Linked DNA regions of Canis lupus familiaris. The protein of the gene in region 2 purifies or fractionates together with the protein of the main gene of each other region. This does not show direct contact. Links are inferred from orthologs where the notes say so. Each region holds a gene or a part of one and is shown on either strand. Other genes may lie near its edges. The genes, in order: CCP110, KIF24 and CEP97.

Evidence for each region.
Region 1: the proteins of KIF24 (region 2) and CCP110 purify together in Homo sapiens (co-immunoprecipitation; 4 studies listed by BioGRID and IntAct, with this or other methods). This does not show direct contact. The link is inferred for Canis lupus familiaris from reciprocal best matches to the Homo sapiens genes KIF24 and CCP110.
Region 3: the proteins of KIF24 (region 2) and CEP97 purify together in Homo sapiens (co-immunoprecipitation; 4 studies listed by BioGRID and IntAct, with this or other methods). This does not show direct contact. The link is inferred for Canis lupus familiaris from reciprocal best matches to the Homo sapiens genes KIF24 and CEP97.

Annotation. Positions count from the first base shown.
Region 1 is NC_049227.1:25,967,934-25,971,581, forward strand, and holds part of CCP110 (centriolar coiled-coil protein of 110 kDa), read right to left. Parts: intron 1,769-3,648; coding exon 1,640-1,768; intron 1-1,639.
Region 2 is NC_049232.1:51,217,880-51,221,527, reverse strand, and holds part of KIF24 (kinesin-like protein KIF24), read left to right. Parts: intron 1-2,926; coding exon 2,927-3,648. UniProt on the Homo sapiens protein: Microtubule-dependent motor protein that acts as a negative regulator of ciliogenesis by mediating recruitment of CCP110 to mother centriole in cycling cells, leading to restrict nucleation of cilia at centrioles.
Region 3 is NC_049254.1:8,434,780-8,439,120, reverse strand, and holds the start of CEP97 (centrosomal protein of 97 kDa), read right to left. Parts: upstream 2,803-4,341; 5' UTR 2,268-2,802; coding exon of another isoform or gene 2,192-2,267; 5' UTR 2,066-2,191; coding exon of another isoform or gene 2,061-2,065; 5' UTR 1,765-2,060; exon of another isoform or gene 1,557-1,764; intron 509-1,556; exon of another isoform or gene 313-508; intron 1-312. Other genes in the region: RPL24 (60S ribosomal protein L24), read left to right, coding at 2,061-2,065, 2,192-2,267, 2,803-2,913. UniProt on the Homo sapiens protein: Acts as a key negative regulator of ciliogenesis in collaboration with CCP110 by capping the mother centriole thereby preventing cilia formation. Required for recruitment of CCP110 to the centrosome.

The DNA.
Region 1 (3,648 bases), on a different chromosome or scaffold from region 2:
TAAATTGTTTCCTTAAAATATCTCAAAGTTCACATTTGTATATACAGCAGCTATGTTTTTGGTATAGTACTAAAAGGAGTTTTTGTTTAGAGAATTTAAGAATAAAAATATATCACAGAATGATAGGTTTTACAGAGACTGAAGAAATCTGTTTGTTTGATTTAAAATTTCTCTATATCTGCATATAATTAATTCATTACTCTCTAGTTTAACACTGTACATGCTCTATTAAATGTTGGAAGTTTTAAGACTCAACAATCTCATTACTAGTACATTTGATATATTCCTTCACTGGACCAATAATTATATGCCATTTTGTTTCAATAATAGGAAACATCTAGTAAATCCAAAGTCTACCCTTATTGTGCTGCACTGTATTTTTTAAACTTAATATAGTCATTACAATCTGCAAATTAAAATCTACTACCCACAGAAAAATGAAGGTAGCAATTAGTGGGAAACAGCCTAAGGTTTGTTGTACGTGTATCATCTAGTATGAATTATATAAACTATAAAACAAACCCTAAGGAAAAAAAAAAAAGTTAAGATGTAGCCAGCAAAACAGAGCTACATAGAGCAGAAATCATTTGTTCAACATAATTCGTTTTTTCTTTAGTATGAAATGATCCACACCCTAAAACAAACTGTTTATAGAAATTTATTCTTGGGATCCCTGGGTGGCGCAGCGGTTTAGCGCCTGCCTTTGGCCCAGGGCGCGATCCTGGAGACCCAGGATCGAATCCCACATCGGGCTCCCGGTGCATGGAGCCTGCTTCTCCCTCTGCCTGTGTCTCTGCCTCTCTCTCTCACTGTGTGCCTATCATAAATAAATAATAAAAAAAAAAAAAAAAAAAAAAAAAAGAAATTTATTCTTTTTTTTTTTAAAGATTTTATTTATTTATTTGACAAAGAATGAGGGGGAGAGAGAGAAAACACAAGCAGGCAGATTGGCAGGCAGAGGGAGAGGGAGAAGCAGGCTCCCCACTAAGTCAGGAACCCGAAGCGAGGACCCAATCCCAGCGTCCTGTGATCATGACCTGAACCAAAGGCAGATGCTCAATCCTGGTGCCCCTTTATACAAATTTAAATTCAGCTAAATAAAAATAATTGCAAAAGGCGTGAATGTATTGTTTAAATGGTTTCAATTTAGATCTAAGATGCATCTGGACAATTCTACTTACATAATCTAAATTGCACTTGTGTACCTAAGAAGAGAATTTTCACACACACACACAAAAAATGGGGGGCAGTTATTTACTTTAGCAGAGAATGAGAATAAGGTCATTGACTCAATAGTCTGATTAGTTCAGAGGTAAACTACAATGGCCAATTCTATTATTTTGTCACTGAGAATTCCGTGTTTTTAGAGTCATAAGACACAGACAATAAGCAATTATATTCAGGGAAGGGCTCCATTGTCTAAGTACCCTCTGATTCAAGTACTGGGCATCACTAACAAGCAAGTGAATGTTCTTTGGAGTAACTGAAATGGAATATCACAAACCACTAAGATTCTCAAACATAACAGTAAAATATATTGGTAACTAACTAGTAAGCACAAACATATTTCTGAAAAAGTATCACTACTGCTTACCTCATGATTTCTTAACTATAATTTTAAAACATCTACATTACACACCTGAACATTTTCAAGAATCTCCTGGACCCGAGTCAATAAAGCTTTCTTCCTATTAACATGCTTTCTTGTTTCTACATCAAGTGCTTTCTGCTTCTCTTGTTGCATTTCCTTTCTTTTCTCAATGTTAAGCTGCAAAACATCAGAAATATGTAATTATTTCTCATAAATTAAAAAATGCCTTAAAATCAGGAATCTTTGAATCAGAATGATTAAAACATGCAACAGGTAAAGCTATAGGAAAAGAAATCTGAACAGTGGTTAGGGGGAATGAGTGGGATGGGGCAGGGGAGATCTTTTTGTGGGTATGAAAATGTTCCATTTGGGTGTGAGTTTCACAAGTGTATGCCATATATCAAAACTCAGGGAACTTTAGAACTTAAGATCTGTGCATTCTACTGTATGTAAATTATTCCCAAATGAATAAAAAGTTAAAGAAGAAAAAAAAAAAAAAAAAAAAACCTGTTCACTCATCAAATGCTCTAAAATGAGAGATAAACTGTTTTGGCCACTGCTGAGCTTATCATTGGCAGTATCTTACTCCACAGGGTCAGATTCTTCAATTTCTAATGTTCCAATCAGCATACATTTTATCTCTTTGCTACGTCAAGAAAATGTCTAAAGGCTTAATGATGAAAGAAACAGATAATGTTTTCTTTGCCTACAAAATGAGAATATGTTAGATCCCAATTCACTGTACCTTCCAGTAAAAATATAATTTACTTCAACAACTGGAATTTCTAAGCATTACATCTTTTTAGTGAATTTAATTTTCTTTTTTAAGATTTTATTTATCTATTCATGAGAGACGCAGAGAGAGAGGCAGGGAGATAGACAGAGGGAGAAGCAGGCTCCCTGCAGGGAGCCTGATGCAGAACTCGATCCCAGGACCCCAGAATATGACCTGAGTCAAAGGCAGACGCTCAACCACTGAGCCACCAGGCACCTGTGAATTTAAATCTTAATTATTAAGTTCTAAGAGGTTTAGTCACTGCATTAAGAAGTCAAGTCTTGGGATCCCTGGGTGGCACAGCGGTTTAGCGCCTGCCTTTGGCCCAGGGCGTGATCCTGGAGACCCGGGATCGAATCCCACATCGGGCTCCCGGTGCATGGAGCCTGCTTCTCCCTCTGCCTGTGTCTCTGCCTCTCTCTCTCTCTCTCTCTCTCTCTCTCAATCTGTGTGACTATCATAAATAAATAAAAATTTAAAAAAAAAAAAAAAAAAGAAGTCAAGTCTTATCTTAGACCAATATAAATGGAAAACATGTCATAGGGACGCCTGGGTGGCTCAGCAGTTGGGCGTCTGCCTTCGGCTCAGGTTGTGATCCCAGCATTCTGGGATCGAGTCCCACATCGGGCTCCCTGCATGGAGCCTGCTTCTCCCTCTGCCTATGTCTCTGCCTCTCTCTCTGTGTCTCTCATGAATAAATAAATAAAATCTTAAAAAAAAAAAAAAAGAAAACATGTCATAAAAAATTATTCCAGAATTATACTATTCATCTGTCACATACAACATAAAATCACGGACAAAGGTCTATAAGCATCAGATTTTGCTTATAAATAAGTAACTGATGGAGTCACAGACCCTAAACAACAAAGCTCAGATATTTTGGTTCACTTTAAACTAATCAAGCAATGTTACCAAGTAGCTGGTAAAAATGTTTTAAAATTTTTATCTGCATGGTATCAAAGAATCATTCCACAGTTTACTTGCTAATCACAAAGGGGGGAAATGTATATTTTCAAAAGTTATCTGGCAGTCAGCACTTATAAAAGCAAGTAAAACTAAACATCACTAATAGGGAAACAACTAGAATTATGTAACTTCTGATTTAACTTAACACGGAGCATAGGGCATCAGCTCCAAAGAGTTCTTGCCAAAAATGTTTAACCTGACTCTAATCAAACTTTTATTTTTTTTCTAATAAAACTTTTATTTTTTTAATTTTTTTTCTAATAAAAATTTTAGACTTCATTTCCAATTTATAGGAACTACAGGAACTAGAGGACAC
Region 2 (3,648 bases):
GAAGAAAGGCTACTTCACAGGGCACCTGGGTGGCTTAGTTGGTTAAGCATCTGACTCTTGGCTTTGGCTCGGGTCATGGTCTCAGGGTTATGAGACAGAGCCCGGAGTTCAGCTCTGCACTCAGCTTGGAATCTGCTTGAGATTCTCTTTCCCTCTCCTTCTGCTCCTCCCCCTTCTCACACGCTCTCTCTCACTGTCTGTCTCAAATAAATCTAGAAAAAAGGCTACTTCATGAACTGAAATTAGATAGAAGATATGAAATGATCCAAACTTGTTTCCAAAAAACCAATATGGCTTGAAATTTTTTACCCCCATGTATCCATCAGCCAGCTTCAACAGTTAATAGTAAACCAATCTTTTCTCATAAGCCCACCCACTCACCAAAATCACAGACATTGTTACCAGTTGCTTAGAGTAAGAACTTCATCATTAAGAGCAGAGAACAAGACATCTCTCTTAGTGCCTCAGTAAAGGAAGATGAAAATAACCCTTTCTCATAGGAGAAGTATTAAGTATAATTGAGAAATTATGTGACATAAGTTTAACTTTAAAAAGAACAGAAAAAGTATAATAGAAATCTTTTCCAATTTGAAGCGGTCTAATAAATTATTAAAAATGAATGAAAAAAAAACAAAAACAAAAAAAAAATGAATGAAAGCCGTTTGTTTTATGTGCTTAAATGAGACCTAATGAAATTTAGGTAATAATCTATATACATACCAATGATTTTATTGCTTATTTAAAAATTTCTGATATAAAATTTCTTCTTTCTATATACTAGAAGAATGTTGCTAAGGACTCCAGAGATAAAGTTCCAGCTAGACCCCTAATAGGTATACATCTATCAGAAGAGCTCAGTGATAGGAGTGATTTTGGGGACAGGGAGAGTATATTGAAAGCATTTAGCATCAATGACCAAATTACCTGTAGGATTCCTTCTGGCACTCAGCTTTCTAGAATTATTTACTGTGACTCCTAGGGAGAAGTTTTGGTATTTCTCTCTTAATGAAACTAAAATAATTAAGATTTTTATAACAAGAAGTAACTTGGAACCATCTAGACTTACTGTGGTACCTCTCAGCTTATTTCCTTGTATGTATGCCCTACTGCAACACCTAAACAAAGGCCTGTGGGATATATGTGTCTTTCTTTCTTTCTTTTTTTTTTAAGATTTTAGTCGGTCCAGGGCCTGATCCTGGAGACCCAGGATCGAGTCCCACGTCGGGCTCCCTGCATGGAGCCTGCTTCTCCCTCTCTCTGTGTCTCTGCCTCTCTCTGTATGTCTGTATTTATTCATGAGAGAATAAGACAGAGGAGAAGCAGGCTCCTCACGGGGAGCCCAATGTGGGACTTGATCCTGGGACCGGGATCATGCCCTGAGCCAAAGGCAGATGCTCAACCGCTGAGCCACCCAGGCGTCCCCACATGTGTCTTTAGTCACATCCTACATCTCTTTGCTTAGCTATGTTACCTGCCTGCCTTGGCTCTCAGACTTAAAGGGAAGATTTAAATCAAGTCTCAGTATCAGGGGATCCCAGGGTGGCTTAGCGGTTTAGCACTTGCCTTTGGCCCAGGGCGTGATCCTGGAGACCCGGGATCGAGTCCCATGTCAGGCTCCCTGCATGGAGCCTGCTTCTCCCTCTGCCTGTGTCTCTGCCTCTCTCTCTCTCTCTCTCTCTCTCTCTCTCTCTCTCTCTGTGTGTGTGTGTGTGTGTCTCTCATGAAGAAATAAAATATTAAAAAAAAAAAAAAAAGTCTCAGTATCAGGCTTATTATCTTGGTTTTCAGAAATGGCCAGAGGAGTCATTTGGCTACAAGTAAGGATTGGATTAAAACCAAAACAACGGAGGGACACCTGGGTGGCTGAGTCAGTTAAGCATCTGCCTTTGGTTCAGGTCATGATTCCAGAGTCCTGATCGAGCCTCTCATCGAGTTCCCTGCTCAGCGAGGTGCCTGCTTCTCACTCTTCCTCTGCCCCTCTCTCTCCTCATGTTCTCTGTCTCTCTCTCTCTCTCTCTCTCTCTCACACACACACACACACACACACACACACAAATAAGTAAAGTAAAAAAAAAAAAAAAAAAAGGGAAGAGACATTTAATGGGAGCCCCCAGGCAGAAGTACTGCTCCCTCCTAGAGGATTTTAATGAAGAATTTACAAACCACTGAAGAGTCACATTTTTACTTGATGTCACCTTGTAATTCTAAATTCTTAGAGCATTTTTAAATATCACAGAGCTAAGAGACTATCCTGACAATGGAATCCTAGCAGAGACCTAATTCTGGATTTTCCATCCTCTCTAAAATTCCCATTTGGAATAAATAGAGTATATGTCTGGAGACATTTTTGATTGTCATGACTAGAGAGAAGTGCTACTGGCATTTAGTGGGTGGAAGCTAAAGATGCTGCTAAACATCCCACAGTGCACAGGACAGCTCCCTACAAAAAAGAATTATCTGGCTCCAAATACCACTAGTGCAAAGGTTGAGAAACACTAGGAATAGACAAGTCACTTTTCCTTTAATTAGCATAAGCCTGTTTATTTCCAGAGGGTTTTGCTTCCTGAGCACCCAACAAGTTTGAAGAACTCATTTTCTTAGAGAAGCCTGAAGGGAGGTAGATTGTGGGAAAAGTGGGCTCTGCCTGTGGAGTAGTAGGTGACATCAGGCTCCTGAGTTGGCCCATCTTCAAGAAGGCCCGTGTGGGCCCTACCTAGATGTAGTACAGTTCTGAGACTAGCTTCCCTGGCCCATCCCATGGGACTGAGGTGATTTCCAGAACTTCTGATCATAGAATGTTGGGTATGTTATAGCCACAGGCTACACCATCTTTTTTAGTAATACTTTTCTTTGGTTTTTGAAAAGTATAAAAAGGAATTAAGGAGCATGCAAGACTATACATTTAACATAAAATGGTAATTTACAGGGTCAAAGAACTAAAGAAAGGCATTAAATGTTGTGCTTCAGCTACCAGTCAAAATCGGACCTCTGGAAATTCTTCTCCAAAACGAATTCAGAGCTCCCCTATGGCCCTGCCAGGGGACAAGTGTTCTCCCAAAAAGGTCAAGCTGGGACTTCAGCAGACATTCACAGCATCTCCTGGTTCTATGAGAGGGAAAGCCCATCCTCTGGCCAGCCACCCACCCAACATCCCTTTTGCTCCTGTACCTAAAGTTCCCGGTAAAAGGGGTGGATCCAGAAGGAGTCTTCCCCAAGAGTGGGGCATTCAAACTAGCCCTCCCAGAGGAGCTACACGGTCTGGACATTTAGCCAGAAAAAGGGCAGAAGAGTCTGTGTCATTATGCTCTGAGAAAAATCAAATGGGCAACAAAACTGCCCACAGGTGGGAAAGCAGGGCCCCTGGCCCAAGAGAAGCCCCAGCACATGGTAAGCTGCCCTCCAAGTGCAAGCCAGGACAGACTGTGCGGCCTGTGCAGAAGCAGCTAGTGTCACCGGCCGAGCTCTCTTCTGGCAGGCCCCAGCACTCAGCAGAACACAATCAGGGCAGCCAGGGGAGCACATCTGCCAGGTCTGCCTCTGAAACTTGGACAAACATCCCTTCACATCAAAAGGAGAGGGAGGAACACTTGCGCTTTTATCACCAGCAGTTCCAGCAGCCACCTCTCCTCCAGCAAAAGTTAAAGTACC
Region 3 (4,341 bases), on a different chromosome or scaffold from region 2:
GGGTTGTGAGTTCAAACCCCGCATTAGGCTCCAAACAATCAATCAATCAATCAATCAATCAATAAGAGTGTAAGGATAAAGTCACCAGAAATTTATAGATGGTGTTGGAAGCCGTTTTATGACAGTATATAAAATACTTTTAGAGGCTTCTGTATATTTTCTTCTTATTCTAAGAGTGTTTGAGCATAGTTTAAGGTGTGATATATACAATGTGTTACAAAGAACCCTAAGATGCCAGCTCAAGAATGCCCTCCAAGAAAGAGTAAAAGCCCTAAAATCCTTAAGGTCTAGTTTTCTGCTTTTCCTCCACAGAGCTACTCAGGCCAAACTTAATTTTGAAGACCAGTGAAATAAAATCTTCCTAAAATGCTTGGGAAGGTACTATAAATCCTGGGGTTCTGTGGATCAAATTCCTGCTTATAAATCTTGGCCCCATCTTCTACTCATTCCAGCTGGGCCTTATCGCCTATAGAAGCCAGGTCGTTTTCTTCTCTTTTTTTTTTTTTTTTTTTTCCCAAATGATCAAACATCTGTTTAATCAGGAGTGATTTAAAACAAAGAGAGCAAATAATAATAATAATAATAATAATAATAATAAACAAAGAGAGCTGTATCAATGTCATAGCTAAGTTCATCAAGCCATGGGAGCCCGAGGCGTCCATCTGCCCATAGTGTATTTAAACAATGTATTCCAAGTAACCAGGTATTCTGAAAAACTGGTAAGAGTTGGTTGGAATGTCAAATTCCTCCCCTTTGCTTTTTTTTTTTTTTTTAATTTTATTTATTTATGATAGTCACAGAGAGAGAGAGAGAGAGAGAGAGAGAGAGAGGCAGAGACGCAGGCAGAGGGAGAAGCAGGCTCCATGCACCGGGAGCCCGACGTGGGATTTGATCCCGGGTCTCCAGGATAGCGCCCTGGGCCAAAGGCAGGCGCCAAACCGCTGCGCCACCCAGGGATCCCTCCCCTTTGCTTTTTGATTCCACGCTGATCTCTATTAACTCATTCTTATTTTTTAAGATCTTATTTTTAAGTAATCTCTATGCCCAAGGTGGGGCTCAAACTCACACTCCCAAAATCAAGAGTCACACGCTCCACTGACTGAGCAGCCAGGTGCCCCTCTATGAGCTCATTCTTGAGACTGGTCCCAGCATAACCGTACAGCTTCCAACATCTTAACATCAGTCAGCCACCTCGTTGCACTTTCCAGATCTTTCCACCTACCACTTACCGATGCTTTTTAGAGGGAGCAGCTTATACAGGCAGCATCAATCATTGCATTTTTGTTTCCTAGTCAAATCCTGCAAAACGCCATTCAAGGACTGCCTCCTTCCATTACCCCCCAACATGCTGCTCCTTTCTAGCGTCACGGGGCTCAAGCTATTGAGGCACTGCCCCCCCCGTGGGCTTGGCCAGGGCTCCCTTTCCCAAGCCTCGGAGCAAGGGCTTTGCCTTTCACTGTTCCACCACCTGCCCCCGGGCTGCAATAGGCGGAAGGTGACGCCTCCTCTTCCCAGACAGGCGGCTGTCACTTCGCAGGGCCTCGGCGCGTACTCACTGGGGATTTCGTAAACTCTACACAAGTGCGTGTAAATGCTCCGGCATACTCCCTAGCGCAGAAAGAGAAGTCCATGAATGCCGATCAGTGCAAGGCGTGGGAGCCACTTCAGATGGCATTACTATTTTCCAAAGCTGAAACCATTAAAATTTGATTTTGCTGGTGAAGTTCGTGGGGCAGCACGGAGCTGTGTGACTTGAAGTTTTACCTGTGGGTATTGGCTGTCGGTCACCGGGCTGTGCACGTCCCACTCGGCGCGGCAGGACCACGCTCAGGACCCCCGACCGCAGGAGACGCCACGACCGCGAAACCGACCGCGCGCCCCGCGCCCCGCGCGCCGGCTCCGCCTTCAGCGGAAGGAGGCGGCTGTGGCTGACGTCATCGCCGAGCGCCGGGGTTACGGAAGGGACTCGGGGAGGGGCTCGGCCTGCCGGCTTATAAGGCTTCTTCCCATGATGCTCTCCTTCTCTTCGCCGTCTCGCCGTCTTCCCGGCCGCCGCAGCCATGAAGTGAGCAAGACCCCGGGCCGCAATCCGCTTCCATCCTCGGGCCGAGCCGCCTTCGCACGTCCTGGGCTCGGCTGCCCCTTGCCGTCGACACCCCCCCTAACGGGCTCTCTTGGCTTTTTGTTACAGGGTCGAGCTGTGCAGTTTCAGTGGGTACAAGATTTACCCCGGACATGGCAGGCGCTACGCCAGGACCGACGGGAAGGTGAAAGGCCGCTTGCGCCCCTAGGAGGGGAGCGGCCCGGTTGGGTCTAAGCGTGTGCACGTCCCCCCTCGCTCCCGGCCCCTGAGGCGCTTGTTGCGGGCGCCGCGGGTGCAGTGGCTGTTAGGATAGGAAGCCTCGGAGTGAGCCGATTTCCGAGGCTGGACGTAGTGTGAGCGAGGTCGGAGGTTAGGAGTTTGGGAACTCCGGCGGCCCGGGGAACGGACGGCCCAAGCACCTGGCTATGCTGGGGGCACCAGGCCTCTCGGGACCCGGGTAGGGACCGGGCTGGATGCCTCCCGGGATGCCCCGCCCGTCCCTGCCCCGGGAGCTTCGGTTCACCGGCTTCCGTGTCGGCAGGACGGATGCCCCAAGGCCTCGGGGTGCCACCCGCTCCTGCCGGCCGTGACCCGCACACAGCCTTTTGGTCTCTGGGCCAGGGAGGCGGTAGAAGTGAGAGTCTGCAGGGTTCCAAGCTCAGCCTCCCGCTTGGTTCAGTCGAGTGGCTGAGCTGACCGCCTTGGACGTGTTCCTGCAGGTCTTCCAGTTTCTTAACGCAAAATGCGAGTCGGCCTTCCTTTCCAAGAGGAACCCTCGGCAGATCAACTGGACTGTCCTCTACAGAAGAAAGCACAAAAAGGGACAGTCGGTAAGTTAACTGCAGTCTGGTCTTGGGGGGGCTCTTAAATTTAAACTGAGCATCAGGTGCCGCCCTGTAAAATTGTAAAGGAGACAGGACGTGAGAGTGCTCTTAGGCTGTAAAGCATCAGTGAAGCGAAGACGACTGGTACGCTCGTCTCCTTATACATCAGGCTCACGGGAACGTCGAGTTGAAATTTAGAAGCATCCGCTTGCCAAAGTAGGTAACTCCTATTAAGTATACATCTGTAGAAGTCATTCAGAGGTTCCAGTGGGTGGAAGTTAAGTAGTCTGGTAACTTGGTTTTGAAGGTTTACAGGATTAGTTCTAAGGGCTGTCACTGGAATCTTCAGCATCTTGCTTTGTTCTCAAGATTGTTTTTTTTGAAGCGCTCTTTGACCTTGATGGAGACTTTTGAGGAAAGGTTTTTGTGCTCTGGCAGTAGGATTAGTGTCTAGGAAGGCTCAGAATATTTTAGTGAACACCTGGGTGAAAGACACCAGTAGGTATTGTGGGAGCTCAGATGAAGGAGAAATTTATTTCTAACTTAGATTTGACACACCCATTAGGATAGTCCGTATCCAGAAAAGGGAAGATTACCAATGTTGCTGAAGGTGTGGAGAAATCAGAACTTTGGTGCATTGCTGAATGTGAGATGGTACAGGCACTGGAAATGGTCTCACAGTTTCTCAAAAAGCTAAATGGAACTATATCCAGCAACTCTACTTATAGGAGTATACCCAAGGAAACTAAGCAGGAACCTAACACAAATAATTTTTTTTTTCTTGTTATGATTTTGACTTGATTCCACAACCATGATTTTGACAGCACAGGCAGCAGGAGAGGGAGAAGCAGGGAGGCCAATGTGGGACTCTGGGGCTCAGGGCTCCTGGGATCATGACCTGAGCCAAAGGCAGATAGATGCTTAACTGACTGAACCATCCAGGTGCCCCAAGACAGATAACTAATATACGAGTGTTTATAGCACTGGTTATTCACAATAGCCAAAATATGGAAACAGCCCAAATGGCCTATCCATGGGTGAACGGATAACAAAACATTACACACACACAATGGAATATTATTCAGCCTTAAGAAGCTGGTAACTAGCCAATATAATAAACCTTGAAGACATACTAAGTCAAATAAGCCAGACACAGAAGTACAAATATTGTTTAAGTTCACCTTTATGGGGTGCGTATAGTGACAAATTCATAAAGGCAAAGTAGAGATTACTAGAGGCTGGGCAGTGGAAGCAATGGGGCATTTGGAGTGATGAAAAAGTTAGAGATGGGATCCCTGGGTGGCGCAGCGGTTTGGCGCCTGCCTTTGGCCCAGGGCGCGATCCTGGAGACCCGGGATCGAATCCCACGTCGGGCTCCCGGTGCATGGAGCCTGCTTCTCCCTCTGCCTGTGTCTCTGCCTCTCTCTCTCTCTC